Linked DNA regions of Stegostoma tigrinum. The protein of the gene in region 2 purifies or fractionates together with the protein of the main gene of each other region. This does not show direct contact. Links are inferred from orthologs where the notes say so. Each region holds a gene or a part of one and is shown on either strand. Other genes may lie near its edges.

What was found.
Region 1: the proteins of smarcd1 (region 2) and zinc finger protein ubi-d4 B-like purify together in Homo sapiens (affinity purification with mass spectrometry; 9 studies listed by BioGRID and IntAct, counting the BioPlex papers as one, with this or other methods). This does not show direct contact. The link is inferred for Stegostoma tigrinum from reciprocal best matches to the Homo sapiens genes SMARCD1 and DPF2.
Region 3: the proteins of smarcd1 (region 2) and B-cell CLL/lymphoma 7 protein family member B-like purify together in Homo sapiens (affinity purification with mass spectrometry; 4 studies listed by BioGRID and IntAct, counting the BioPlex papers as one, with this or other methods). This does not show direct contact. The link is inferred for Stegostoma tigrinum from reciprocal best matches to the Homo sapiens genes SMARCD1 and BCL7B.

What each region holds. Positions count from the first base shown.
Region 1 is NC_081395.1:3,497,526-3,505,126, reverse strand, and holds the start of zinc finger protein ubi-d4 B-like, read left to right. Parts: upstream 1-4,541; coding exon 4,542-4,636; intron 4,637-4,991; coding exon 4,992-5,071; intron 5,072-7,601. UniProt on the Homo sapiens protein: Plays an active role in transcriptional regulation by binding modified histones H3 and H4. Is a negative regulator of myeloid differentiation of hematopoietic progenitor cells. Might also have a role in the development and maturation of lymphoid cells.
Region 2 is NC_081404.1:15,151,947-15,159,707, reverse strand, and holds the start of smarcd1 (SWI/SNF-related matrix-associated actin-dependent regulator of chromatin subfamily D member 1), read right to left. Parts: upstream 3,105-7,761; 5' UTR 3,091-3,104; coding exon 2,926-3,090; intron 1-2,925. UniProt on the Homo sapiens protein: Involved in transcriptional activation and repression of select genes by chromatin remodeling (alteration of DNA-nucleosome topology).
Region 3 is NC_081380.1:13,827,277-13,835,173, forward strand, and holds the start of B-cell CLL/lymphoma 7 protein family member B-like, read right to left. Parts: upstream 3,061-7,897; 5' UTR 2,969-3,060; coding exon 2,877-2,968; intron 1-2,876. Other genes in the region: uncharacterized protein LOC125464656, read left to right, coding at 7,206-7,897. UniProt on the Homo sapiens protein: Positive regulator of apoptosis. Plays a role in the Wnt signaling pathway, negatively regulating the expression of Wnt signaling components CTNNB1 and HMGA1.

The DNA of each region.
Region 1 (7,601 bases), on a different chromosome or scaffold from region 2:
CTGGTCAGCCAGGGCTCTCCTGATTGGCCCAGGGTTAACATGCCCAATCAAGGATCTTGTAGCCAACAAGATCCAGCTGGTTCCTATCGCTACAGTACCCAAGGTTTAGCAGACTGATTCCTGAGATGGCAGGGCTGGCATATGAGGAGACACTGAATTGGTTAAAATTAGAGTCGCTGCAAAACTGGGGCCTCTCATAGATAGCTGTAAAATTCAAACAGGACTAGACAGGGTAGATGCAGGAAGGATACTCCCAGTGATGGGGAAGCCCAGAACCAGGGGTCACAGTGTAAGGATGTGGCAAAATCCAATCCCAAGAGCCTGCATCTGGCCCACATCTCTCGCAATCTTCCCGACTCATGTACCCGTCCAGATGCCCTTTAAATGCTGTAACTGTACCAGCCCCCACCACTTCCCCTGGCAGCTCATTCCATACCAACCATCCTCTGTGTGAAAAAGTTACCCCTCAGGTCCCTTTTACATCCTCCCCCTCTCACCTTAAACCTATATCCCTCTAGACTCCCCCCCACCCTGGGGGGAAAAGACCTTGTCTATTCACCCTGTCCATGCCCCTCATGATTTTATAAACCTCTATAAGGTCACCCCTTCAGCCTCTGAAGCTCCAGGGATTATCGCTGCAGCCTATTCAGCCCCTCCCTGTCGCTCAGACCCTCCAACCCTGGCAACATCCTTGTAAATCTTTTCTGAGCCCTTTCTATTTTAACGACATCCTTCCCACAGCAGGGAGACCTGGATTGAACACAGTTTTCCAAAAGTGGCCCTAACCAATGTCCAGTACAGCCACAACGTGGCCGTCCCAACTCCCTCTACTCAATGCACTGACCAATAAAGACAAGTACCAAATGCCTCCTTCATTATCCTATCCACCTGTGACTCCACTTTCAGGGAGCTATGAACCTGCTCCCCAAGGTCTCTCTGTTCAGCAACACCCCCCAGGGCCTTCCCATTAAGCCCTGCCCTGATGTGACTTTCCAAAATGCAGCATCTCACATTTATCTGAATTCAACTCCATCTGCCTCTCCTCGGCCCATCGGCCCATCTGATTAAGGCCCTATTGTACCCTGATGGAACCTTCTTCACTGTACACTGTATCTCCAATTTTAGACTCACCTGTAAACTTACCATATCAAAAGCCAGTCCCAAGAGCCTGCATTTGGCCCACATCTCTCTCGATCTTTCCAACTCATGTCCCCGTCCAGATGCCCTTTAAATGCTGTAACTGTACCAGCCCCCACCACTTCCTCACGACACCAGGTGAAAGTCTAACAGATGAAGGAGCTGTGCACCGAAAGCTTGTGATTTCAAATAAACCTGTTGGACTATAACCTGGTGTCTTGGGACTTCTGACCTCTGTCCACCGCAGTCCTACACGGGCACCTCCACATCTTGGCAGACCAGCCATACCCCTTATGTTCTCATCCAAATCATTGAAGCAAATGACCATCAGCAGTGGGGCTTTTAGTGACTTGGAGAGAGCAAGGCCTGCAGGTGCTGGAGTCAGAGATAACACAGTGTGGAGCTGGAGGAACACAGCAAGCCAGGCAGCATCACAGGAGCAGGAAAGCAGATGTTCCGGGCCTGGACCCTTCATCAGGACTGGGGAGGGGTTAGGGAGCTCAGAAATAAACAGAGGGAGGTGGGTGGGCCTGGGGGAAGGTAGGTGGGACGGTGATAGGTGGATGTAGATAGATGGTGGCGGGGAATGGTGAGTGGGATGGGTGGGGATGGATGGGTGGGAGAGAAGATGGACAGGTTGTGTCAGGTCAAGGAAATGAGAGGGAGGGTTGGTCATGAGATGAGGCTGGGGGTGTGGGAAGATTTTAAAACTGCACTCGACGTTAAGGCCATCAGGCTGTAGGCTCCCGAGGTGGAATATGAGGTTCTGCTCCTCCAGTTTGTGGGTGGCATCATTGTGACACTGGAGGAGGCCCAGGATGGATATGTCACCCAGGGAATGGCGGGGGGGGGGGGGCAGTTAAAATGGTTTGCAACTGGAAGGAGTCATCGTTTGTCGTGTATGGAGTGCAGATGATCTACAAAACGGCCCCTAAGTCTGCACTTGGTCTCACTGATTTAGAGGAGGCCACGTAGGGAGCAGGAGATACAGGAGCCAAGTTGACAGATGTGCAGGTGAACCCCCATCTAATAGACAATAGACAATAGGTGCAGGTGTAGGCCATTCGGCCCTTTGAGCCAGCACCACCATTCATTATCCTGTCACAATCAGTATCCTGTTCCTGCGTTATCCCCAAAACCCCTGACTCCACTATCTTTAAGAGCTCTATCCATCCCTCCATGACATGGAAGGTTTGTTTTGGGCCTGGGACGGGGGGTGAGGGGGGAGGTGCAGGGGTATAGCGCTTCCTGTGGGTACAGGGAAGGGTGGTGGGGTTAGTGGGGAGTGTGGAGCAGATGAGGGAGTTGCGGAGAAGGCGGTCCCTATGGAAGGCAGATAGTGTGGGGCGGGAAAATATATTTGGCTGTGGGCTCGGATTGTAGCTGGTGCAAATGGCGGAGAATGATACTTTGGATGTGGAGGTTGGTGGGGTGATATGTGAGGGACAATGGGGCTTCTGTCTTTATTTGTGTTGGGGGGGAGGGGGTGTGAGGACAGAAGTGTGGGAAACACAAGAGATGAGGTTGAGGGCATTTTCAATCACTGGGTGGGGGGAAGTTATGGTCTTTGAAATAGGGGTCCATGTGCGGGAGTGGAATGCCTCATCGTGGGAGCAGATGCGGCGGAGGCGGAGGAATTGGGAATAGGGGATGGAATTTTTGCAGGAGGGTGGGTGGGAGGAGGTGTATTCTAGGTAGCTGTGGGAGTCGGTGGGCTTGAAATGGACATCGGTTACAAGCTGGTTGCCTGAGATGGAGACTGAGAGGTCCAGGAAGGTGAGGGATGTGCTGGAGATTGCCCAGGTGAACTGAAGGTTGGGGTGGAAGGTGTTGGTGAAGTGGATGAACTGTTTGAGCTCCTCTGGGGAGCAAGAGGCGGCGCCGATACAGTCATCAATGTAACGGAGGAAGAGGTGGGGTTTGGGGCCAGTGTAGCAGAAGAGGGATTGTTCCACGTAACCTACAAAGAGGCAGGCATAGCTGGGGCCCATGCGGGTGCCCATGGCCACCCCCTTAGTCTGTAGGAAGTGGGAGGAATCGAAAGAGAAGTTGTTGAGGGTGAGGACGAGTTTGGCTAGGCAGATGAGGGTGTCAGTGGAGGGGGACTGGTCGGGCCTGCAGGACAGGAAGAAGCAGAGGGCCATCTGCATGAGGAATACAGGTGTATAGGGACTGGACGTCCATGGTGAAGATGAGGTGTTAGAGGCTGTGGAATTTACAGAGGTCCACTCTAAGTTTGTAAGAAGGAGCACAGACCTGAAGTTTTTTTTTAAAGCAGGTGGCAGCGCTTTAGAAATACTACAAATCACAGAATCTAGTTATGTTTGATTTATTGAACAAATGTGGGTCAAAACTCATTACCATGTGCCTGCACCAAAGCAGGGATTAAATAGCCAGCTCGACCTCAGTAACACTAGTACGTTGCGCATTTTAGGAAACAGGTTTGCAGTAATTGTCCTGCAAGAGATTGAACTCTCATGGCATGAACGTGTTCCTTTAACTTCCATTAAACCAAAATTGTCGATCCCTTTCATTCTTCCACAGAGAGACAGGGTACTTCGCAGTACCAAAGCTTAATTTATGAAGGTCCACACCAGGCAAACAAACAAGCAGGAGCTGCCTCCAACCTTTAGATTTGTCAGATACGTAGAAAATCAGAGAAGAGTACAGGAGGACATTCAGCCCGTTGAGTCTGCAGGGTCGGATTGTGCTGATTGTTGAGTCAATGTGATGGGGATTTGTCAGGATACCAAGTCTCAGCACTGAGTGACCATTTCACACTCACTGGCTCCCCTCAGCCAGTCCACCCTGTCGCTGCTCCTTCCTTCCTCTGAGGCTGAGTGGGAGCAGTCCCCCTCTGCTTCCCTGTCTAAGGTGAAAAGATTCAGTCTCCGAGTCCTACAGCACAGAAACAGACCCTTTGGTCCGACCCATCCACCGAGCTTGTTTTCCAAACTGACTCAGTCCCAGCTGCCTGCGTTTCGCCCATATCGCTCTCTAACCCTTTCCTGTTCATGTACCTGTCCAGATGTCTTTTTCAAATGCTGTAAGAGTCCCCCACACCCACCACTTCCCGTGGCAGTTCATTCCACACACAAACCAGCCTCTGTGTAAAAAAATTACCCCTCAAGCCCTTTTCAAAACGGTCTCCTCTCACCTTAAAAATACAACCCCTAGTTTTGAACTCGCCCACTTTAGAGAAAAGGCCTTGACTATTCACGTTCTTTATGACCCTCATGATATTTATAAACCTCTACAAGGTCGCCTCTCAACTTCCTACACTCCAGTGACAGAATTCCCAGCCTTTCAAGCCTCTCCTTATGACTCAAACCCTCCGATTCCCAGTGACGTCCCGGTACATCTCTCCCGAGCTCTCTACAGCTCAATAATATCCTTCCGAAAACATGGAGACACCAGAAATGCACATGGTGCTGCAGAATAGAGCGCCCCCAATGTCCTGCACAAACTCAACACAACGCCCCAACTCTGGCACTCAGCGGTGACCCACTCTCTGTCGGTGGGGCAGGCCAGAGGGATGGGGGGAAGCTGCTGGGGTGGGAGGAGGGTAACTCAGACCAGAGCCTCCCTGTGCAAAAGCACTCAAATAGCTGATTAAACTGAGCATCTAGAATCCTTTGTCCCAGGCATCACACTGAAGGGGCAGGGGATTATGCCAGCCCTGCTTTAACACTCAGTAATTCAATAATAAGCAAACTATCACGACTCAGCTCACAGGACTGACCCTCAAATCAAATATGAGTCAGCTGGAACAAAAACAGAAGTTGCCGGAAAAGCTCAGCGGGTCTGGCAGCGTTTGTGAAGGAAAAAAATCAGAGTAAACATTTCGGTTCCAGGGACCCTTCCTCAGAACTCAAACCCGAGACCAAAGGCTTAGTCACCAATGGAGCAGTGAGAGAAATTCAGGGGGGTTCAGGTGCCAAAGATAGGGAGGGGGTGTAGGGGCCAGAGGGGTTGCCAGAGATAGGGAGGGGGTGTAGGGGGTGACAGAGATAGGGAGGGGGTGTGGGGGCTGGAGAGGGTGACAGAGATAGGGAGGGGTGTGGGGGCTGGAGTGGGTGACAGAGATAGGGTGGGGATGTTTGGGCTGGAGGGGGTAACAGAGATAGGAGGGGGTGTGGGGGGGTGACAGAGATTGGCAGGGGGAGTAGCGGCTGGAGTGGGTGACAGAGATACGGTGGGGGTGTTTGGGCTGGAGGGGGTGACAGAGATAAGGAGGGGGTCGAGGGGTTGGAGAGGGTTACAGAGATAGGGAGGGGGTGTAGGGGCTGGAGGGGTTGACAGAAATAGAGGGGGGTGTAGGGGCTGGAGGGGGTGACAGAGACAAGGAGGGGGTGTTGGGAATTGAGGGTGTGACAGAGATAGGGAGGGGGTGTAGGGGCTGGAGGGGGTGACAGAGATAGGGAGGGGGTGTAGAAGCTGGAGGGGGTGAAGAGATAGGGAGGGGGTGTAGGGGATGGAGGGGGTGACAAAGATAGGGAGGGGGTGTGGGGGCGGGAGTGGGTGACAGAGATCGAGAGTCGGTGTAGGGGCTGGAGGGGGTGACAGAGAGGAAGGGGGTGTCAGGGCTGGAGGGAGTGACAGAGATAGTGGAGCGGGGGAATGGGGGATAGTGGAGAGGGGTGATTGGGGTTAGTGGAGAGGGGGGATTGGGGTTAGTGGAGAGGGGGGATTGGGGTTAGTGGAGTGGGGATGGGGGTTAGTGGAGAGGGGGGATTGGGGTTAGTGGAGAGGGGGTATTGGGGTTAGTGGAGAGGGGGGATGGGGGTTAGTGGAGAGGGGGTATTGGGGTGAGTGGAGAGGGGGGATGGGGGTTAGTAGAGAGGGGGGATTGGGGTTAGTGGAGAGGGGGGATTGGGGTTAGTGGAGAGGGGGGATTGGGGTTAGTGGAGAGTGGGGATGGGGGTTAGTGGAGTGGGGATGGGGGTTAGTGGAGAGGGGGTATTGTGGTTAGTGGAGAGGGGGAATTGGGGTTAGTGGAGAGGGGGTATTGTGGTTAGTGGAGAGGGGGGATTGGGGTTAGTGGAGAGGGGGGATGGGGGTTAGTGGAGAGGGGGTATTGGGGTTAGTGGAGAGGGGGTATTGGGGTTAGTGGAGAGGGGGAATTGGGGTTAGTGGAGAGGGGGTATTGGGGTTAGTGGAGAGGGGGGATGGGGGTTAGGGGAGAGGGGGAATTGGGGTGAGTGGAGAGGGGGAATTGGGGTGAGTGGAGAGGGGGAATTGTGGTTAGTGGAGAGGGGGGATGGGGGTTAGGGGAGAGGGGGAATTGGGGTGAGTGGAGAGGGGGAATTGGGGTTAGTGGAGAGGGGGAATTGTGGTTAGTGGAGAGGGGGTATTGGGGTTAGTGGAGGGGGGGATGGGGGTTAGTGGAGAGGGGGGATGGGGTTAGTGGGGAGGGGGATGTGGGCTTAGTGGGGAGGGGTTATTGGGGTTAGTGGAGAGGGGGGATTGTGGTTAGTGTAGAGGGGGGATTGTGGTTAGTGTAGAGGGGGGATTGTGGTTAGTGGAGGGGAGGGATTGGGGTTAGTGGAGAGGGGTATGGGGCTTCGTGGAGAGGGGGTATTGGGGTTAGTGGAGAGGGGGGATTGGGGTTAGTGGAGAGGGGGGTATTGGGGTTAGTGGAGATGGGGGATTGGGGTTAGTGGAGATGGGGGATTGGGGTTAATGGAGAGTGGGGATGGTGGTTAGTGGAGAGGGGGGATTGGGGTTAGTGGAGGGGTGGGATTGGGGTTTGTGGAGAGTGGGTATGGGTGTTAGTGGAGAGGGGGTATTGGGGTTAGTGGAGAGGGCGGATGGGGGTTAGTGGAGAGGGGATGGGGGTTAGTGGAGAGGGGGGATTTGGGTTAGTGGAGAGGGGGTTGGGGGTTAGTCTAGAGGGGGGATTGGGGTTAGTGGAGAGGGGGGATTGGGGTTAGTGGAGAGGGGGTATTGGGGTTAGTGGAGAGGGGGTATTGGGGTTAGTGGAGAGGGGGATGGGGGTTAGTGGAGAGGGGGGATTGGGGTTAGTGGAGGGGTGGGATTGGGGTTTCTGGAGAGTGGGTATGGGTGTTAGTGGAGAGGGGGTATTGGGGTTAGTGAAGAGGGCGGATGGGGGTTAGTGGAGAGGGGATGGGGTTTAGTGGAGAGGGGGGATTTGGGTTAGTGGAGAGGGGGTTGGGGGTTAGTGGAGAGGGGGGATTGGGGTTAGTGGAGAGGGGGGATTGGGGTTAGTGGAGAGGGGGGATTGGGGTTAGTGGAGAAGGGGATGGGGGTTAGTGGAGAGGGGGGATTGGGGTTAGTGTAGAGGGGGGATTGGGGGTTAGTGGAGAGTGGGGATGGGGGTTAGTGGAGAGGGGGTTGGGGTTTAGTGGAGAGGGGGGATTGGGGTTAGTGGAGTGGGGATGGGGGTTAGTGGAGAGGGGGGATTGGGGTTAGTGGAGAGGGGGGATTGGGGTTAGTGGAGAGGG
Region 2 (7,761 bases):
TCCCAGCAAGTGTACTATTATCACAGAGAGTGTGCAACAAAGGTTCACCAGGCTGTCCAAATGAAGAGAGATTGTGCAAACTGGGCCTGTTCCTCAAGAATTTCAAAGAATGAGAAACCTACAAAATATTTTAGGGATAAAGAGGAGATGCAAGCAAAATACATCCCTTTGCTGGGGAGTTGAGAAGTGGGAGGGAGGGACGCCATTTAAAAAATAAGGGGAATACCATTTAGGACCAAGATGAGAATTTCTTTTAATCAAAGGGCTGTGAACCTTTAGAACTCTCTCCCCCACCCCCAGAGGGCTGTGGACGCTCAGTCTTTCAGTATGTTTAAGGTATAAATTGATAGATATCTCATTATCAATTGTGCAAAGGGATACAGGTATAGCTAACATGATGCTCAGTAGCAGTGGTGCATCGATGTGCTTCTGAGATTTTATAAAGCTCTAGTTAGGCCCCATTTAGAATACTGTGTCCAAATTTGAGCCCCACACCTCAGGAAGGACAATACTAGCCCTGGAGCGTGTCCAGCAGAGATTCACACGGATGATCCCTGGAATGGGAGGCCTAACATACGATGAACGGCTGAGGATCTGGATTTGTATTCATTACAGTTTGGAAGGTTGAGGGGAGATCTAATAGAAACTTACAAGATAATGTATGGCTTAGAAAGGGTGGACACTGGGCAGTTGTTTCTGTTAGGCAGGGAGACTAGGCACAGCCCTAGAATTAGAGGAGGTCAATTTAGAACAGAAATGAGGAGACATTTCTTCAGCCAGAGAGTGGTGGGCCTGTGGAATTAATTGCCATGGAGTGCAGTGGAGGCTGGGACTTTAAATGTCTTCAAGGCAGAGATTGATAATTCCTTGCGAGATCAAGAATTTAAGGGCTACGGGGAGAGTGCGGATAAGTGGAGTTGAAATGCCCATCAGCCATGATTAAATGGCAGAGTGGACTCAATGGGCCGAATGGCCTTACTTCCACACCTCCTATGTCTTACAGAGCTCAGAACAACTTTCTCGCAAGATGAGCCGCTCATGCTATCAGAGAAAATTTAAACTAATCTGACAGGGGTGTAGAAAGCAAAGGCAGAAACAGACAACATTCGAATAGCCAATAGCAACATACCAGGCAGGGTCAGACTAGGAGTAAGAGAGAAGGAATAAAGTTTAAATTAGGATTATTGTGGACATTTGGGAATGTGCAGACTGGTGAGCAACAAGTGCAAACTGACATATGGGAAGACTAAACTTACAGAAGGACCTGATGCTCAGAATGCTTGAATAAAAGGTGTCCAGGAAAGATACTGCAGTACTGGAGAAAGTGTGCTCCTCAGGGGTGTCAAGTACAAAGTCTGTTTTAGAACTAGGGAACAAGGTCTAATTATATTGCTTGGTGTAGTCTATGGGCCACAAAGTAGTGGGAAAAATGTAGAGGAACAAATTTGCAAGGAAATAACAGAGGCATTAGAATTACACAGAGGAGTTATAATGGGAGAGAACTTTAATAATCCAAATAAAAACTAAGATAACAGTAGCATAAAGGGAAGAGACAAACAAGAGTACAAAGAGTGTGCTCTGGAGAATTTTTCTACAATAGTATGTTGAGTCCAATGCGAAAGATTTAGCTGGGCCTAGATTTTGGGAAGGTGGTGTGTCAAGTGGATCTAGTGCCAGATTAGAGAAATTGGGACTATTCACCTTGGGAACGGCTGAGAAAAGACTTGATCGAAGTGTTCAAAGCCATGAAGGGTCTGAACAAAGTACAGAGAAAGAAACGGTTCCCATTAGTTGAAGGATCAAGAACCCGAAGACACCAATTTAAGACATGAGGCAGTTAGAATCTGGAATGCACTGCCTGCAAGTGTGGTGAAGGCAGGATCAAATGAGACTTTCAAAAAAGACTTGTATTTTTGTCTGAACCAGAAGCATTTGCAGGATAAGGCAGAATGGCAAGAAGCAAACTGCTTCTTCAACAGGCCAGCAGAGTTGAACAACCCCTCCATGCCATAATCATTCTGTGATTACAAGTACAGTAGCAATCTCCCTGGAGTCTTGAACAATATTTATTTCTCAATCAACATCACCAAAACAAATTGTTTATCACAATGCTGTTTGTGGGGGATGGCTGTACACAAATTGATTGCCATGTTTCCTGTGTTATTATTGAGAGTACTCATCAAAAGCACTTTCAGATATTTGGTGGTTGTGAAAGGCCTTATATAAATACAAGTTTTGCTTTTCTGTTAACATTTGCTGGCCAATTTGTGGTGAACTAGGGTTCTCAGTCACTGCCTGAGAGAAACACTATCTACCATACACAATTTACACCTGGTTCTCACAGCCAACAGCTTTCATCACCATCTGCCTGTATTTCAACACAGGACAGAAAATGTTTTAAACTGCTCAGCAGGCCAGGTACATCAGCCACCTTTGAACAAAACCCCTATGATTCTATCAAAGCCACAGGGATCCTGAGAATATCAAGCATTTTTCTCTTTTTAAGTTCAAGTTTCCTACATCAGTAGCATCTTGTTCAGATTTAACCACAACTAGCTTCCAAATTCAAGACTAAGAGTCAAATCTGAACATGACTCAAAATAAAATCTTTTCAACTTACATAACTGTAGAAAAATAATCATAAGACATTACAAACCAGTCTGTTCGGGCCTAAAGAGCAAGGCAAGAATGTGAAGCAGCCTTAGGGGATGCAATCAATTATCCAACTGAAGGAAACAAAGGAAGCTAGGGTCAGGTCAGATGTAGAAAGACCAATCTGGTCATTCAGGAGGCAAGAAAGGAAGCTTGCTGGCTGTGGCCGGTTCGATTTAAGGAATGGGACCTGCCTTGGTCAGGACAAGGGGCCTCGCCTTTCCCCCCACCCCCTTCATCACACATAGTTCCATATCCCGGCCCCTCACTTACCGGGTATCCCTGGCCTGGCATGGCTGAACGGAACATGTTTTGTTGTTGAGCTCCTGTTATCCTGCCCGGGGCCTGCCCCGTCCCTTGTGCTTGGCCAGGCCCCGGACCCGCTGCCATAGCAGCCGCCGCGCCCGGGCTCATTGTCTGGAAGCCTCGCGCCGCCATCTTCGAGAAGGAACTCTTTCGCACCGGAAAGCGATAACACTGCTTCCGGTACGCGGCCCAGCCCGCATGCGTTAATTAATCGCCTGAAACAGCGCCCCCCTCTGGGCGGATGCTGAACTCCAGAGACGGCGACACACTCAGGGCGGAGACTAAACTCCACAAACAGGGCCATCCTCAGGACAAGGGCGAAACTCCAGAAATGGCGTCACACTGAGGGCGAAGTCTTGAACTCCAGAAGCAGCGCCACCCTCAGGGCGGAGACTGCAAAATAACGGAGAAGGCCCCAAGAACAGCGCCAGCTGGTGGGAGAGTTAAATCCACATGGTTTTATTCGGTGTCACGTTGTAACATGTAGTCATTGGGCTAACCAAGGCTTTTCCAGTGAGTTACATGCTGCCTGATCATTGAGAGTTTTTTTTAGAAAGTTCAAAGGGTAAGTGAGGAAGGGAGACAAATAGAAAATAAGTGGAGATTGGCAGTCAATTCAAAAGGGAATGCAAAAGCTTTTTTGGGATATGTAAGTAACAAAATTACATGAAGAGAAGGGATAGATCAGTTAGGGACAAATGCACATCCAAGGTATCAAATGAGTACACTGCATCTGCTTTTAACAATCTTAGCATCCTTACATTTGGCCCATCAAGTCCATACCAACCCACCAAAGAGCATCCCACTGAGATCCACCCTATCCCTGTAACCTTGCATCCCCCTTGGCCATCCCAGCCAGCCTGCACTATGGGCAATTTAGCGTTGCCAATCCACCTAACCTGTATAGTTTTGGACTGTGGGAGGAAACCCATGCAGACATGGGGAGAATGTACAAACTCCACACAGTCACCCAAGGGTGGAATCAAACCCTGGCGCTGTGACACAGTGGTGCTAACCGCTGAGCCACCGTGCCACAAATGAGGAAGCCGCTGTCATACTTAAGATACTGGCTGAGCTCAGGTTTGACGAAGAGAAGAAGTCAGTTTAACCTACATGGTTAAAATGCTTTTAGAAGTGATAATTGGGATTAACATTAATCGTCGCCTGACTCATTTACGAAGGAAAGCTCACATGGATTTGTTAAAGACAAGTCCTGTTCCACTAACCTGATAGAGATTTTTTTAATGAAGTAACACAAATGTTTAATGGGGGTAATACAGCTGATTTGATTTAAATAGGCTTCTGAAAAGCATTTGACAAAGTGCCACATAATGGTCTTGCTGGCAAAAGTGAGGCATGCAAGGGACAGTGGCAACAGGGGTTATGCAGTTAACTGAGTGACAGAGAACAGTTGGGGGTGAAAGGTTGTTTTGTAAAGGAGGAGTAGAGTTTGCCATGTTGAAATGAGGACCATTACTTTCCTTGATCTATATTAATGACCAAAATTTACTTGTCTAGGGCTTATTTCAACAGTTCCAGATGATACAACTATTGTGAACCCTGAGGAGGATGATGATAGAGTGAATGAGGACATTGTGATGTAAGCTGTGTGGTTTATATAGGTTTTATTATAATTTAGTTTAGAACTTGGATTTTGGACTAGTGGCATTTGGGCTTTGATCTGTGTATGAGAGAGAGCTGAATGATTAACTTGCCACTATATCCAGAGCTGTCATTTTTCTTTTCAAAAAAAACGATGAGAGAGGGGTTTTTTTGGAGAAGCAGTGGGAATGTATTTGTATTGGGAAAGCTTACTGAGTAAACAGGCTAAACATTGAGAAGTGCTCGGCTTTCAGTTAAACAAATCAGCTTTTTTTTGCATGAGGAAACACCTATAGCTCATGTCCTGGTGAACCTGAGATGTGTAAAATAGCCTCTTCTAAAGAAGGGCGATATTTAAGAATTGTTAAGAAAATAGGTTACCTCACCATCAGGAGTTTAGCTTGGAAACCCTAGACCAGAAGTGCTTGGTTAGAACCTTGAAGGAGTTATTTGAAGCTGAGAAAGACTAAGGTCAGTTGTATGGACACTCAAGGAATGAATTTTCTGAAGAAGAGTCCCGATCCAAAACATCAACTTTCCTGCTCCTATGATGCTGCCTGTCCTGCTGTGCTCCTCCAGCTCCACACCTTGTTATCTATAGCATTATGTGTTTGTATTTCAATGAAAGACTACCTTGTTGAATTAAAGAAAGACAAGATACGATCTGTCAAGCCAGATTTCTGCCCAGGATCTGGCATTTCCAGTGCTAACATCAGTTGGGATCATAATAACATGGATAGGCTGGTAGAATAGACAGACATGTGGAAAATGTAATGCAAAGAAGCAAACTATATTGATAGGAAGATCAAAGCAAGGCATCATATAAGGTTGGGTACATCTCTAAAGAGGTTGCAGGAGCAGAGTGATGTGGGGTTAAATGTACACAGACTGTGGAATGTGGCAAGGCAGGTTGAGGAAATGCTTCATAGGTGTACAGGACTTTAGGCTTTATATATCGAAGCATTGTGAGTAAAAGCATGTAAGGGTAGCACGGTGGCTCAGTGGTTAGCACTGCAGCCTCACAGCGCCAGGGACCCGGGTTCAATTCCAGCCTCAGGCAACTGTCTGTGTGGAGTTTACACATTCTCCCTGTGTCTGCGTGGGTTTCCTCCGGGTGCTCCGGTTTCCTCCCACAGTCTAAACATGTGCAGGCTAGGTGGATCGGCCATGCTAAATTGCCCCATGGTGTCCAGGAAGCTAAGTGGGTTTGCCATGGGAAATGCAGGGTTATTGAGGGGTGGGGGTGTGATGGGATGGTCTTTGGAGGGTCACCGTGGACTTGATGGCCTGAATGGCCTGCTACTACGCTATAGGGATTCTGTGATGAACCTTTAGAAAACACTGGTTTGACCTTTAGTGGATGATTACGCCCAGTTCTGGGTCCTGCACTACATGAAGCATGTGAGAGGGTGAAGGAAAGATCCATGAGAATGGTCCTGGGGTGAGACACTTTGAGTAGGTTGGAGAAGCTGGGACTATTCCCCTTGGAGAAGAGAAGACTGAGGGGGAATCTGTTCAAAATGAAGAAAGGTCTGGGCAGAGTGGTAGGAAAACTGGTGTAAGGTGATTGGTGAAATATACAAGGGCAGCACACAGTAAAAAACCCTTTTACTGCAGCGAGTGGTTAGAGTCTACAATGCAAGTGGTCGAGAGTGTAATGGAGGCAGGGTTAATCAATGCTTTCAGGAAGGGAATGAGATAAGAATCTGCAAAGGAATCCTATTCAGGGGTACAAGGGGGAGTGGGACTGACTGAGTTCCTCCTTTGGAGAGCCACTATAGACTCAAGAGGCTGAATGACCTCCTGTAAGCTGCTACGGTTCTGTGGATCTGCCATATCTGTGTTGCATAGGGGAAGGTGGATGGTACAAATTCGAGGACGTAAATTGCATTTGGACAAGACCGTGGTTATGCTGCAGGACTACATGACAGCAAAGGGTAATGGTAGGCTGCCATTCAAGAAGAAAGGCTAGAAAAATAGAAGCTTTCTACCCTGTCATAAAGCAAGATGTGATGGAGCCTCACACCACGACAAATCTGTTACCCATCTGGCGAGGCTTAATTCGGTCGCCCCGAGTAGGGGAACAATTTGAATCGATTCATGTTGGGGTAAGAGGGAGAGAGAGATAGGAACTATCTTCACGAGGCTTTGCAGAAATTCACCAAAGATTCTCAGACAACACCTCCTAAACCCATGACCACTTCCATCTAGAAGGACAAGGGCAGCAGACACATGGGAACACCACTGCCCTGCGAGTTCCCCTCCGAGACCTTGTGGAGAAAGAAACGAGAGTTAACGTTACAAGTTCAACGTGACTGCTTTTCGGACTGTGACAAGCCTCATTAAACTCGTCCTTACAGTTTATCTTTACAGTGTACATTCACAATTCATGTTCTGCAGACTTGAAACGCTCACTCGTTTCTCTCCCCACAGACGCTGCCCGACTCGCTGAGTTTCTCCAGCATTCTCTGTGTTTGCTTTGGATTTCTGGCAACCACAGGGTTTTACTTTTAGTTTATAATTCTGTTCTGGGTACCTACCTTCATTACTTCAGACCATTGAGTATAGGAGTTGGGACATTGTGTTGTGGCTGTACAGGGCCATTGCTGAGGCCACTTTTGGAATACTGTGTATAATTCTGGTTGCCTTATTATAGGAAGAATGTTATTAAGTTGGAAAGCATGCAAAAAAATGATTGACAAGAATGTTACCATGACTGGAAGGTTTGGGAAACCTGGATGCGTTGGGCCGAAGGGCCTATATGACTGTGAGGGTGACGCACCACAGTGCAGTACTGAGGGAGTGCTGCTGTTCGCATGAGCCTTTAATCCTGTCACCTCTCTCAGGCAAAGGGGAAAAAATTTGGCATGATACTTGAAGAACAAGGAGTTGTGGTGGAGGCAGGTTCAATGGAAGCTTTCCAAAGGGAATGAGATTGTCATCACAGAAGTGGAAAAACGATGGGCTGAATGGCATCTTTCTGCGCCAGAACAATTCTGGCAGTGTGTGCTTTCCGGCAATCCAAAAGAGGCTATACTTCAAAAACCCTGCTGTAGAGTGCTCGGAAGGTGGGGAAGACACGAGAGAAATGTGCATTTTTTTTAACTGAAAGGAGACGGTAAAGTTCCAAAAGCAGCGACTGGTTCACGCTGCGAGAACTGGGATAGACTTGATGGGCTGAATGTCCTCCTTTGTGATATA
Region 3 (7,897 bases), on a different chromosome or scaffold from region 2:
CCCTCACCCCTTCCATCCCCTCCCACAAAAGATAGAGCACACCTTTCTCTTTACACCTCGTCAGGCTGGACATACAAAGATCGTAATCCACTGTTCCCACCTACGGCAGAATGCCTCCACCACACAAATATTCACTCCCTTCCCTTGTCATCAGTCAGGAGGGGCCATTCCCCTGGTCCTTGCCCAACACGCCCACATCCCCCATCACACCTTCCCATACAATGACAGAAGGGACAATACTTGCCCGTTTATTTCTTCCCTCCTCACTTCAAGACCCCAGACACACATTCCAGGTGAAATCGATTTACCTTCACTTCATTCAATGAGGTTTCTGCATTCGCTGTTCACAATCTGGTCAATTCTACATTGGGGAGACAAAATGCAGACTGGGCAACAACTTTGCTCCGACTATTAAAGTGACCTTGAGCCTCCAGTGGCCTTCCACTTCAAACAGCATCATGATCCTTGGTCAACATCTCTGTGACAGGCCTGCTGCAGTGTGATAATGAGGCTCAACACAAGCTGGAGAAACAAACCCCATCCTCTGCCTAAGGAGCTAATGGCTTCAGGACTCAACATTGAGTTTAACTATTCCAGAAATAAACTTAATCCACCTAGGCTGCACATCCCAATAACTACTGGGCAGTTCTAGCATGGCCATTGCACATCTTTGGACTGGGGAAGGAAGGTACAGCACCCAGTGGAAACTGGTGCAGACGAGGGAAGAATGTGCTAACTCCACACAGACAGTTGCCCAAGGTTAGAATCAAACCCACATTTCTGGCACTGTGAGGCGGCAGTGCCAACCAATTCCCGGAACTAATAAATACAACTCTCACCAAAGTGGACTCATTTTTTTCCTTTTTACGGCCATCATTTATACCTACTTTGCATATTTAGTACTCCTTCTCACTGCCGTGATCTTTTGCTTTGGAGCACATTCACCATCTGTTCCAATGGCTCCTCCTCCCCTCTATATCAATAGCATTAAAAACTATGACTCTCCAGCACCTTTCCATTCTGAAGAAGCTATACTGATCTCAGAAATTTTCTTGCTCCAAATACGTTGCCAGACCTGCTGAGCTTCTTCAGCACCTCTGTTTTTTATGTCAGATTTCCAGCACCTGCAGTATTTTTCTTTTATATATACCTGGTACAATTGGTTATGTATGTCAATTTATTACAGAAAAAGACATCCCTTATTAGTTTCTTAACCAACTGCTGCACTCTTACTCGATTTTATTTTCTCCAAATTACAATCTTTACAGAACAGAGGCAAGTATGTCCACGGCAGATAATGAAATTTGAATTAAATAAATATCTGGAAGTAAGGATCTAATGCTGACCATGAATCCATTGTTGGTTGTCAGGAAAATCTATCTGGTTCACTAACATCCTTTAGGGAAGGAAACTACCATCTTACCTGGTCTGGCCTCCATATGACTCCAGACCCACAGCAATGTAGTTGACTCTTAACTGCCCTATTGGTAATTAGGGATCAGCAATAAATGTTGCTTTGTCTTGCTGCTTCCCATGAATGGATAAAAATTTTGGCGCACTTTAAGGTAAAAGGCTTGATTGCAACAGCAAGAATGGGAGCCATTGTAGGCGCAGATAGATACCTACAGGCAGCGAAAGAAGTGGAAGACACTTGTATGTTGCAACACAGGCAGCCTGGATTCCTAATACAGAAGAAGTGAAAATACATTGCAACAATAAGAAACATCGTTATTTATTAATTATTTAATTTAAATGTCCTTATTTAATTTGTTTGGAGAAGGAACGGAAAAATTTACAAGACCATAGATTAAAACCTTTTTTGTTTGAGATATGGACATCACTGACTAGCATTTATTGCCCTAGAGAAAGTGGTGGTGAGTTATCTTTTTTAACTGCTGGCGTTGTTAGGATGTAAGGACCCCCACAGAGCAGATAAGGAGTTCCGGCATATTAACCCATGCACAACGAAAGTTAATAAAGTTCCAAGTCAAAATGGTGTGTGACATGGAAGGGAACTTGCAAGTGGTATCGGAAATAATGGGAACTGCAGATGCTGGAGAATCCAAGATAATAAAGGGTGAAGGTGGATGAACACAACAGGCCAAGCAGCATCTCAGGAGCACAAAAGCTGATGTTTCGGGCCTAGACCCTTCATCATCAGCTCTGACGAAGGGTCTAGACCCGAAACGTCAGATTTTGTGCTCCTGAGATGCTGCTTGGCCTGGTGTGTTCATCCAGCTTCATACTTTATTAACTTGCAAGTGGTGATGTTTACAGGCTTCTACAGCACTTGTCCTTGAAGGTGATTTAGAGACTGCAGCCACTGTATCAGTGATGTCTCTCCTGCCGTAGTGTAACAATAACAAGAACTTCTGGAATTTAACTGCATGCCTTGAACAGTGCTCTACCAACATCTCAGAGAAATGATACACAGACCTTCCGTTCACTATCTGATGGCCTCAGTTTTAAACAAGACTACGGGCCATTTACGACTAGACACTTAGGGCTATGTTTAATAAAAAAAGTCTGGTGGGCGAACAGAAGCCAGCCTACTCTTCCTCCAGAAAAGAATAATGCTCCAGAACGTGGCCTACTTTACTACTGATTTGACTTCACTCTGAGACTTTCAGCAAATGAATCAAACTGGCCCTGCCCACCCATGTCCTGCAATACAACCAGAAGTCTCGCCTCCTTAGCTCCCCGTCAGTCCCGAGACGCGGTTACCACAGGAACCGGGGGTCGCCATCGTCCTTGAATGGCTGAACATACCGTCAATCAAATCTCCCTCACATCACTTCCGCCGCCGGATGCCGTTGCTCCCGCCCGTGCGTCGTCTTTCCCCCTTCAATAAAAGTATTTACCGGAGAGCGGCTCACCATTTTCGGACCTTCTCGATAGCTGCCATAACCTTTTTGATGTCATCTTTGGCTCGGCTGCGTGTCTCTGCTCTCACCGACCGGCCCGACATCTTTTCATCCGCGATTTTGTTGGATAATAAAACTTTATCTCCTATCCTGACAAGCACGGCCCCGATCCGCAAGCCGGACTCTGCGCCTGCGCTGTGCGTCGGCCTGACGTAGCCCTGGCACGTGCATGGTCGACGTCATCAGGACCTTCTTGCAAGGTGATGTCCAGGTTATCTTCGAGCCCCTTCCGTCGTCCCATTTGTTTTTGGCAAAAGATGAAGAATGCTTTTATTTCATTAATGCGGTATTTTTAACATAACATGTCTTAAGGAACTTTCACAGAGAGAGAAAAAAACGAAATGGAAACCAAATCAGAAAAATTGAGAACAAAAACAGAAGTTGCTGGAAAAGCTCAGCAGGTCTGGCAGCTTCTGTGAAGAAAAAATCAGAGTTAACGTTTCTGGTCATTGACTGCTGCCGGACCCACGGAGCTTTGCACGCAATGTCAGTTTTAATTCCCGAATTACAGCATCCGCAGTTCTTTCAGTTTTCAGAAAAGTTCAGTACAGATACAAGCAAAATGCTGCAGATGCAAGTGATGGAAGTTTAAAGTTTTTGCGAAGATTTGTAGCTCAGGTTGTGGATGAGATTGTAGACTTGCCCGCTGAACCAGTGTGTTTGATTGCAGACGTTTCGTCACTCTGCTAGGTAACATCATCAGTATGCCTCTGGTGAAACGTTGGTATTAAGTCCCACTTGCTAGTTAGGTACCTCGGTTTGCTGGGGTGGTTGGTATCACTTCCGGTTTGTTCTTCACTTGTATGTATATTGGGTCCAGTTCAATGTGTTTGTTGACGGAGTTCTGTTTGGAATGCCAGGCCTCCAGGCATTTCCTGACATGTCTGTCTTCGACTTGTGCTGTTATGGATGTGTTGGTCCAGTCAAATTTGTGTCATTCTTTGTCCGTGTGTATTGAGACCGGTGAGAATTGGTTGTGTCTTTTGGTAGCCAGTTGGTGTTCATGTAGCCTTATTGTCAGTTTTCTTCCAGTTTGGCCTATGTAATGTTTCTCACAGTCCTTGCATGGTATTATGTATATTACATCAGTTTTATTGGTTGTGGGGTGGGGTCCTTTACATTCGTCAGTAGCTGTCACAGGATGATTGTTAGTTTGTGGGCTACCCTGATACCTAGGGTTCTGAGTAGTCTCGTGGTCATCTCTGATATATCCCTGATGTACGGTAGGGTGACTAGTATGTCTGGCTGTATTGTGTCTTCTTGCTGCGGTCTGTTGCAGAGGCAGATTGTGCTTCTTGGGCATCCATTCCTTTTAAAAAGTCTGCTGAAGTACTCATGTTATGCTTTGTGCAGTTCGGGTTGCTGCATTGTGTTGTAGCTCGTTTGAATAATGTTCTGATGCAGCTCCGTTTATGGGTGTTGGGATGGTTTCTGGTGTAATTAAGTATCTGGTCCATATGTCTTGTTTTTCTGTGTATACTAGTCTGGAGTTCCCTGTTATTCTTATGTTCTACCATGACATCCAGAAAGGATAGTCAGTTATTGTTCTCTTCTTCTTTTGTGAATTTTATTCTGGTGAGAATGTTGTTTGTGTAGGTGGGTTTCTTCTAGTCTTGTGCATTTGATAATCATGAAGGTGTCATCTACAGTGTAGACTCAGAGTTTAGGATAGTGGTGAGCGCTGTCCATTCTAACTTTTGCATTAACGCTTCTGCTGTCATTCCTGATATTGGAGATCCCTTTGGTGTTCCATTGATTTGTTTCAGTATATGGCTGTTGAAGGTGAATTGTGTTGTGAGGCACAGTTCCAGTAATTTCAGTGTACTGTCAGTGTCATGGGGTGTTTGCCTTCCTGATTTGTCCAGCAGTGTGGCAATTGTCTCTTTCGCTAGGCCGAAGTTTATGGATGTAAATTGTGCTGTTACTTTGAAGGATACCATTATCTCATCCTCTTCTATTCTGGTGTCCTAGGTGATGTTGAGGAATTCTTAAGAGGAGTGGATGGAGTGGTTAGTGTTGTCAACTAAGTATTTCAGTTTCCATTGTAGTTCTCCAAACAGTGACATGCCAAGGAATTCCTAGAGGTCTGGCATTCCAACCAGAACTCCGTCAACAAGCACATTGAACTGGGCCCGATATACAAACTGCTGAAGAATAAAACCGGAAGTGATACCAACCACCCCAGCAAACCGACGCATATAAATAACAAGCGGGACGGAACACCAACATTTCACCAGAGGTGCACTGACAGTGCTCCCTAGCATGGTGACAAAACATCTGCAATCAAACACACGAGCTCAGCAAGCAAGTCTGCAACCTCAAGTGACGGAAATAACTCAACAAGTCAGATAGGATCGGTAGAGAGGAACAGAATTCATGTTTACTTATTGAGTTTTTACACTTTGGAAAAAGGTCTTTTGGCTTATCATTGCTGTGTGGTCATCAAACATCTATCTATTGTAATACCATTTTCCAGTACTTGGCCTGCTGTTATGCTATGGCAATTTCAAGTGCTCAGCCAAATAATTCTCAAATGTCTGTATGGTTCTTGCGTGTACCATCCTTTCAGGTAATGAATTCCAGATACTCATCAGCCTTTGGGTGAATTTATTTTTCTCTTATCACCTCTAGACCTTCTGCTCCATACCTTAAAGTGTGCCACCTGGTTACTGACTGAACAACTAAGGGGAAAAGATTCTTCATATCTGCCCTCTAAATGCCCCTCATTACTTTGTACAGTTCAATCAGGTCCCTCCTCAGCTTCCCTGCTGTAAGGAAAACACTTCCTAACCTGCCCATTCTTGCTTCATACCTGAATTGCTGAACCCACTCAACAACCGGGTGAATATCCTGCACCAAGGGTTGGTGATTTTCTTGATGGGCCAAATGGCATGCTTCTACACAGTAGGAATTCTATGATGCAGCCTCATCCTTACTATAATATGCTGACCAGAACTGCACATAGAACTTCAGCTTTGGCACAAATAACATTGTATGAACCTCCATCATAACCTCCTTACTCGTGTATTCATGTCTATCAGATCATGCCACCTATATTCATATCTAGATCATTAATGTACATTATAGCATGGAATTCAACAACGAACCCTTTAATGCACCACTGGACACATGCTTCCAGTCACAGAAACAACCTTTGACTTCTGCATCATGCCATGAAGCCAATGTTGGATCGAGGATACCAAAGTTGCCCTAGATTTGATGGGTTTTTAGCTTCTTAAACAGCTTGCCATATAAGACCTAAAGTAATAGCATCACTACATAGCAGAAAGAGGCCCATCAAGTCTCACTGATTCCCCCAAAGAGCATCCCACCAGACCCAGGCCCAACCCTGTCTCCTTAACTCCACATTTCCTACAGCTAATGCACATGCCTGGATAATATGGACAATTGAGCATGGTCAATCCACCTGACCTCTTCAAAAGCTAAAAACAGAAATTGCTACAGAAACTTATCCAGCAATTTCTGTTTTTGTTTCAGTTCTCCAGCAATTTCTGTTTATATTTCAAATTTCCAGCATCTGCAATTCTTTGTTTTACTTGACAAAAGTCTTACTACTGTCATCTATACTTGAAGTCATCTCCTTGAAAAATTCAATCAAACCTGTCAGACATGATCTCCCCCCTGACAAAGGCATGCTCGTTATCCATTATTAATCCTTGCCTCTCCAAGTGGAGAATAATTTAGTCCATTAGACTTTTTCCAAAGTTCCTCTACCACTGATGTTACAGATCTATGACTTTTTATCAAAACTGCATTTTTCTGTTAAAAAATTATCTTCCGGTAAACCAAGTTTGTAAATATTTCTAACCCAAGTCAATCCACCTTGCAATGTTGATAATTATCTGTGCAGATCTGCTGAGTGGCCCCCAACACTTTCTGCAGCTTGTAAATTTGATGTTTATTGTTCAAATCAATTCACCTTTGGGAACACGATGCATGCACGTGTGTTTCCTTCCCAACTAATGGACGATAACGAATAAAGTTTCCCTTAATATCGTTTAAAACTTATAGCGGAATCAGACTTGGATGTCGGTCTCTTTCCACGATAATTGAAGTGCCAGCCTGTGATTCCTCGGAACGTCAGATTGAGCCGTCAATCAAGATCCTGTGGGCGGGACCTATTGGGAACGGCCACTGTCATTGGCTGAGGTCGGCACGTTTTGAGTGGCTAGGTGTAATGTCATTCAGAGGATAGAGCCTTGTGATTAGTTGTGCCTGTTCGTCAAGGCCTGGGCCCCGCCTTTAAGGCGGGCAGTTAAGATGGCGTTGTATTCTGCTGATCGTTGTGTAAGGGTCCCCCAGCCCCGGAACTGTGTCCGGAGGTTGATTATTAGCGGCTGGAGTCCGGGCAATGGACCTAGATCAGAAGCGGCAGGCTTTGGGCAGGGAGCCGGTGAATGGTGGTCGCCACCATTTCCCTCTGTGGCGCGGAGGCCGAGCACCCAGAGCCGAGCCGCGGCTGGGATTCTGGAGCCCACTCCCGTCAGGAACCCTACCAGGCGGGGGGCAGTAGTGCAGGGGACCCGGCTCTCAAAAGTTCTCACTGTTCTAAAGTTATACCGCACACAACGCATAGCTGGCAGTGACCCTCCCGCCGAACGATCCCCATCAGCGGCTGGGAGTGTGACATTCCCATTGGAAAGGGACCTTTCCGCCCAGAACAGGCAGCTCAGTGATACTGATATGTACATGATGTATGTTAACGGGTTTACTAGCCATGGCAGCAGTTTCTCCTGCCGGCCCTTGCCTCCTCAGTCGAGGAATGACAAATATCTCCAGGGCCTTTGGTGCTTTCGGACTTTTAAACGGTCATTCGTCACAAATGGCTGGGCATCACCCCTGGATAGTAACGGATGCTGGCATTCTGTCACCAATGTACATCCCCAGTGGAGGTCCTATGGCTGCTTTAAAGATGGCAACAGGTTCTCTGGAAGAAATAATTCTGCTCCACT